Lepisosteus oculatus: one gene and its partner. The protein of the gene in region 1 interacts with the protein of each later gene in a pairwise test. Links are inferred from orthologs where the notes say so. Each region holds a gene or a part of one and is shown on either strand. Other genes may lie near its edges.

Region 1 (3,753 bases):
GTACCATTAACGTGTGATCTGTCTACCAAGGAGCTCCAATTGGCTCTGGCCCCCCACCACCCTGAATTCACAGAAGCGGCCAGTGGATGAATGCCAGAGAGTCACCCCAAACCAACCATTTCTTGAAGGTTAGGAACACTTGTAGTTTATTGGTCAATTAAGTGAATAATGAAGGGAATTCAATTAAGGGAAAACCAGCCCTTGAGGCCTGGATGGTCTTCAGACCCTTTGTTTTAAATCAAAAGTATTTCAAATCAAAGCAGAGTGTCTCCTGAATGTATGTTCCATTTGAGATCTCAGTTACAAAGCTGGTGGAATTATTTCCTTCACAGTATAACTGTTAATACCTCTGGCAAGGATTGGAAATGTTTTATGTCCAGCTTTACTTTTACTGAAGTGTGTTTCATTGTCTCATTAATCAGCTGTAAAAGACCATATTAAAAACCCTTTGTGTCTAATTAAAAAATAATTAGGATAACTGTTTATTTAATTGACTGCTCAATTAAATTGATCCCCCCCAAACCAGAAGACACTAGGCACTAGAAGAATTCGGTCGGCCGTCCCTGCTACAGTCAAATGCTATCATGGGGATAAGGTGTCGTTCACGGTATCTGCAGCGCAGCAGAAAATGCAGTTCTCCATGTGGACACACACACACATATATACTGTATAAACGTTTTATAAACGAACATGCAAACGTAAAGGAGTCGATTCGAAACCTTTTCAGGTACAATATGTGGCTGCATTTATTTTCTCTCGAAGAAGACGCTTCGCATCCCTAGCTTCTTGTCGACGGATGGGATCTGTTGGCTCCAAAGGAGATCCTGAATCGAGCGAAACACACACGGTTTTGATCCGTGCGCTGGAGAGCCCTCCTCTTCCCCGAGCCCAGCTGATACACAGCGCACCCTGGCCGGTCTCGACACGGTCCTGCACCCCCGTTCAGAACGGAGCAGCGCTGTCGGTCGGTATTTGGTGCCGCACAACAAAAGTGGTTAAAGCTTGTTAAAGGTTAAAAGGTTCCATCCCGTAAAAAAAAATGCAATTTTAGGAGCCGGGGCTGGGCTATTTTATAAAGAGCTCATTTGAAAAGGGCTAATGTACCACTGTGGCTTTAAGAGACAACGGGTGGGATTTTGGAAAGACGAAAGAAAAAAGGCAGGAGAAACTAGGCGGAGTTTAAATGAATATTAATCATCTGATGGACTCCTTAGAGACAGTCCCCAGCTGGATGAAACACATTTGACAGAACCCATATAGAACTCGTTCTCTAGCATACAGGGTTTTAACCCAGCATTTTTTTAGAAGAAAAAGAGCGAATTCAATTGAGAACTGCAAACAGTTCATTTGCAAACGGCATTATTTCACTTCAGTTCTACAACTCAGCTCGAGTTAGGGAGACAACGCAACTTCTTACATCTCCGTATCTTTAGCCAACAACTTAGATTTTGAAAAGTTTGCATCCATTTATTCTGATCTCTTTCTCCCTCAACTAATATCGAAACCTCCGTTGTTAAAATGGACACCATCCTAGACAACTTCACCTCCGAGAAACTTTTCCCTAACTCCAATCTCTTGGATTTAGAAGATCTGAATGAAGCCGACTTCCTCAGTAACGTGGTACGTAAACGATTGACTTACATTACTCATTTTCGTTATTTTAGATCCTTGACAAGGCACACTTATGTTTTCTAATAGCCTCTGAACCACTGTTAATGCAAAATATTCAAACCTAGTTTCAGAAGATGCATACACTACCGCATCACTGTTATAACGCGTCTCCTTTCTAACCCTGTGGCCACTGTTAATAAATGTGTCTTCCTAACCCTGTGGGAGCATATACCAAACGCTTCTGCAACGCTCTAAAATATCCCACATCAGAAAATGGCAAATGTATTTTTCCCAAAAACAAAACCCTTAAATGTTGTGTGGAACTTTTTGTAATGATTGTTCAGGGTTGCATCGTAACTCGACGCACCGGAACCCACGGGCAACCCAATTCGCGCAAGCGAGATCTTTTAGCGTTTACTTGTCAGCGTGGACAGCAAACTGTTTCATTTGTTAACACTCGGCGGCGGCCACTTGAGGACTGGTTTTCCGCGAAGAAAGTAAACACGGTTTCCGCCGCGAAGCAGCTGTTTTCGGGCCAGCGGAGCTGCCCCAGCTGTGCTCTAAACGCCGAGTCTGTTCTCGGAGCTCTGCCCCCGCGAGGAGGCGTGGCCCGGGCTCTTTCTCACGCCCACCCCGGCTCTTCTCCTCCCTAGACATCCCTATCCTGGTTAGCTCGCACATCCTGGTGGTGGTTGTTTATCGACCTCTTCGACTGAAGCTGCAGGGCGAATTCGAAAAACGCGTTTTGCCGTAGGTTGCGCAGTGCTATCTGGCTGAGTGTTGCGTTTGTGAGCGTCTTGAACGTGCAGGAGATCGGAAAGTGAACAGATGGGCTTGCGAGGCTGCCACGGTTTAAATTCGTTGTCGGATGCAAGACAAAACTGAATCTTTTTTTTGTGTGTGTGTGTTGCTTGATTAGACACCAGCGTGGAATCCCTCTCTAGCACCTTAAGTAAAGACCGCAAGCACCGCTGTGCTGCGATGGAGATGACGTTTGTCCAGTGTTTTTCATGTGGCGTGTTCACATGCGTTAACATACTTCACCAGACGTTTGCGGAAAAATGAAAATGTGTAGCTCTGACAGCACGCAGAGGTAACTCGTTGTCTGCGTGTTTAAAGTGGTCGACCAGGCGTATGTACCCTTCATTTCTGATCTTTTTTTTTTTTAATATCGGCTTTGTAGGAACTGTGGCGAATCAAAACCGCCGGACTTGGCCCGGACAAGATGTTTCATTTTAATCTTAATGAATAAATTGGCGCCCATCCAGTAACAATGTTTCTTATCTTATGCAGTATGACTCATGGGTTCTGTAAAAAAAACTGAAGGGGAAAAGCTGTATAAACTGTATCTGTAACGTCATCTTCATGGAAGAATGAGTTGGCTTTTCTTGGACATCTAGATTGATTAGGAAGGGTACAGTATACAGTATGTGGAATAGTGTTGATTATCACAGTTCTCTGCATGATGCACACTCATCTTCAGGTTGTGCAGTACAGCCAGACATCCCTGCATATTCTCGTAGTGTGAATGAGGTGGGGATTAAGTCACATCTCCCTAACTCTTGAAACTTGAAATCGGCACTGAAGGCCTGTCAGGGCTCCCACATACAGTAGTTACAATAGACTGTGGATGCAGACATCTTTTCACACTTCAACAATAAAGGGCTCTTGTTAGCTGGGCTTCAATGGCCTTTTTATCCTGTGTGCACTGACAGACTACTGAGGGAGGACCTGTATGTTTAGGTTAATTGGGCAGGGTCTGTTTCTGACTGCTGCCTCAGTGCTGTGTGGGGGCTGAATGAGGCCTGTGTGTCCAATAGGTCTTTGCTCCTGCAGTCACTGCCTCTCCACTCAAGCCCCTATTAAGGAAAGCCAAGTGGTGAGGACTGACCCAGTGAAAGGACTCTTTTGTGCATTAATAGGAAAAGCATCAAGTTGCAAAGGTGAAATCCAGCTGCCACTGTCAACGCAAAAACAAAGAGTAAATACAATGCTTTTCAGGCCTTTTTTTGTGGGGAGATTAAATCATCCTGTGTTTCCTGTGTTTAGATACTCATTTCATTTTATTTCCATTTTCTTCCATGTTTTTCAATGACCTCTTTTTTCAGTTCCGTTTAGTATTGACATGTAACATTGTGGCCG
Region 2 (3,753 bases), on another chromosome or scaffold:
GCTTATGCTTATATCCCAAAGGATAAACGTACTTCAGATGTAAGAGGGGACCGACAGCGCCTGTGTGACATGCAGCAGAGATTATGCGCCAGCAGCACCACTGCACAGCAGGTCAGGTGTGAGAAATTACTTCAGATAAATTAAGGTTAACCCAAGGAAGCCAGACTCTATAATTCCACTCAGGACTCGCCATACTCATACGAATAGTGCCTTAGGATCTTTAAAGACCAGACAGTCAGGACCTTGGTGTAATGCCTTATCAGACCCAAAGCACATACTGCAACACTGATGTCTTCCAGAGGGAAGAGGGCCACAGATTGATCCACCAACACCAGTTACAGCTGAAACCCAGTTTTCCTTGGAGGTCTCGCATTCCAGTACTATATTATAGAACATGTTATGTCTGCTTTTTACTTCTACTTATAGCTGCACTATAGACATTCTTAGCTGAGGGATGTCTGCTTTTACACAACAGTTGAGCTTATATGGTGTAAGTTACAAGTTCCATTATAAATATTGTCTTTTGAAATTTCTTAGGGTCAAAATACATGCGCATCCTCAGTCAGAATAAACAGCCGACAAGAAGAGAAAAATCATTCAAAAACGGTTTCTACTTTGATTGCAAAATCCAGATAGAAATAAAACAAAGCACTAGAAACACACAAACTGTCACACAGCTCCAGAACACCATGACATAATTTGTTTTAATGACAGCTGCGATATACATGTAGATACTGGAGTGTGATTCATCCTTTCTGATGATAGTATGGAACTACAGCCTGCTATTTAAAGGAAGGGCCTGAGCTTTGCTCAGTCCCTCAGCCGATAAAGGTGCTTGCCTGAGAGCTGGTTAATCTCTGTAATCGTGGGGTCAAGCCTCAGTAATAATGCTAGGTATCCATAAGATCACTTCATTAGCCATATACAAATTCTTGCATTAGGAATTTGTCTTTTTTCACAAGCCCCAGCTTGCTCTCCATGAGACACACAGACAGGGAGAAAGAAACTTGGGCTCAGAGCGCAGGGTCAGCCATTTAAACGGCACCCCTGGAGCAGCTGGGGTTAAGGGCCTTACTCAGAGGCCCAAAGGAGTAGGATTCCTCTGTCGGCCGCAGGATTTGAACAGGCAACCTTCCAGCCACAGAGCCACCGGTCCACCTGACTAGGAATCCTCATGACTAGGATTCCCCAAGCACACCAAGGGAAGAGTCCAGATGTTCAGAAAAGGGTATTTAAAGCATGCCCCACAAAATGTAATCAAAATACAAGAGCAGAGCAGCCCATTGTAGACCTACAAAAAACAACCTTTTCAAAAACAATTAGTTTTGTTAGCTTTGCTAAATACTTTTTGAATAAAGGCCACAATATTAATTATATCTGCCATTAAGCAGAAGAAAGAGCAGATACACATTTTACTGCATTCATCAAGACAAAAGATAAGGTATTAAGATGACTGCAATAGTATTTTATTAAGTTACCTGGAGCCGTAGGTTGAAAATGCAAACGCACTGAATCAAACGGATAGTAAAATGCAATTTCTTTTATGTGTCGATGATGTTTTTACCTAGAAAGACAACTACTGTACTAAGCAATAAACTGACAATTTCAGCGCTTACCTATTGAATACATGATAAGAGCGAGCTCGATTTAACTCCAGCTTTTTACATGATAAGAGAGAAATAAAATAAAGTCCAGCTTTCCCTTTTACAGTCAGGTTTTTTTAAGCGGTCCTCGTACTATTTTCCCCCCACACTTTCAATGCGTTTACGCTTTAACGTACTTCTTTTTATCTTTAAAAGGCTTAAATCTAAACCACCCATGGGTGTTATAAACTAGAAGTCTGAGTAAACCAGTAAAAGACTAGTAAAACAAGACCCAGTAAAATTAAATAAACAACAACAAAATGACACCACCACTAGCAACTCTATCCGACTCAGCTCCCACAAAAGAAAAGGATGAATGGTTTCCACATTTTTATATAAATGTCGCATTCCCATTTGGGAACGACATCAACAGCAACTTAGAAACTACATGATATATTTCTCAGTCGTGTCAGTCTGCTATGATAACCCTACCCATGATACTTGTGTATGATTGTCACCAGAGCACTGCAAAATCCGAATGGGATCTAGGCTATTTAAAAGACGTCAAAAGCATGCTCAACTTATTTAATTAGTCGCGGCGGAATGCGGCAAAGTTAGCTGACTGAAAATTACATTCGATTTTTTCTTCACCTGCCGCTCCTGTGACGTACAGGTAAGTGAAATCTACATCCATCCATAACGTATTTTCCATTTTTTTTTATACACAGCGACGCCAATTCACAAACATGAGATGTACTTCCCGAAACAAAGCCATGCAATTTTTAGTTTTCTGTACATCTAGCACATGGACAATTATAAGGATAGCCACTGACCACACATCCAAATAACCCTACCTGGCGTACGCCACGGAGACAGGTAAAATACAGACTCTCCTCCCGTTTCGACAGCTCTACTTCCTCCTTAATGCGTCCGTTCCTGGAAGTACTATAGTTTTCTGCCAAGAAAAGAGCAGCTTCAAGCCTCTGTATAACACCTATTGCTGCCCCCTACCGAGGAGGAGTCGACGGCTTCGAAAGGAAGATTATAGTACTTCAAGTGTTGGATATAAAACAACAATTAGATACATTTAAAGGAAAGAGATCCCAAAAAAGTACTTCTTGTTTATTTTAATCATTCGTGTTTACAAACTTTACATGAAATTAAACGCTTCTGTTATGACCTTTACGTTAAGTAACATTAAGAACAGATTTAAATGTTAAGTAATTCTGCTGCTAAAAAAACTTTTAAGCGTGTAAAGCACGGGTGCTCAGCTCCAGTCCTGGAGGGTGAAGCACTTTGTAAAGGTGTCTTTAAATCAGCGGAACCTGTGGAGTTTGGAAAATCTGTTACCCCCCTCCAGTTAGGCCAATGATTATTTCAGTTGGCCACCTAAGAGCTGAGGTACAGAGTAAACTGCATATATGGGGTTGGGTACTCCCAATTTATTGTATAATGCTCAAAAGTCATCTCACTAAAAAGTTTTAAAGGATAAAAACAGTGACCACGATACAGATTTTAAACATCTGTTCTCACTAAGATGTATGCATTTTAAAGGAAGTGATCTGTATCTAAAATACTGTAATAGTTTCGGGTTCGGCGAGGACAGACTCAGTGACTCAGACACTCGTCGAGTAGAGAAAACAGCGCTTTTCTTGAACTTCGGTACAGGCAGCACAGCACTCCGCACCAGCAGAGCAAAACACAGACTGAAAGTGAGAGAGACCGAGCAAGCGCCAGAAAGAGTCGAGAGGGAGCAGTACATTGGGGTCTATTCGGGTAGCTACGCAGGGATAGTGTGGTAATTGGATACAAGTATAACAAGGGGGCGAAACCAGGGAACTATTTACAAGAATGCGGGCGATCTCATCATCACACACTAAATTAAATAAAGCGAACAGCGGGACCGCGGGAGGTTCCGCTTGTAAGCTGAAGTCAGGTAAGCACGATTTGTGTGATTACGAGAGTGGCGATTACGCCCAGGGCCAACGGGAATAGTACTGCATGGGGTGAATACACTGTCCTGTAAAGTCCAGGTTCATCCTCATAGAGTTTAATCGGTTCGTCGTGCGGGAGCTGTTGAGAACACATTAGTTATATGGCTGCCAGCAGTCCTGTCACCCTGCAAATCGAAACTGTCAGCTCACTGAAGCTCAGCAGGTGTGAGTCTGGT

Evidence for each region. The genes of interacting proteins can lie anywhere in the genome.
Region 2: the proteins of creb3l1 (region 1) and fam3c interact in binary tests that used the Homo sapiens proteins (3 or more experiments, as listed by UniProt). The two-hybrid records come from large-scale screens. The link is inferred for Lepisosteus oculatus from reciprocal best matches to the Homo sapiens genes CREB3L1 and FAM3C.

What each region holds. Positions count from the first base shown.
Region 1 is NC_090716.1:4,509,222-4,512,974, forward strand, and holds the start of creb3l1 (cyclic AMP-responsive element-binding protein 3-like protein 1), read left to right. Parts: upstream 1-1,228; 5' UTR 1,229-1,518; coding exon 1,519-1,620; intron 1,621-3,753.
Region 2 is NC_090702.1:40,014,330-40,018,082, reverse strand, and holds the start of fam3c (protein FAM3C), read right to left. Parts: upstream 2,539-3,753; 5' UTR 2,438-2,538; intron 1-2,437. UniProt on the Homo sapiens protein: May be involved in retinal laminar formation. Promotes epithelial to mesenchymal transition.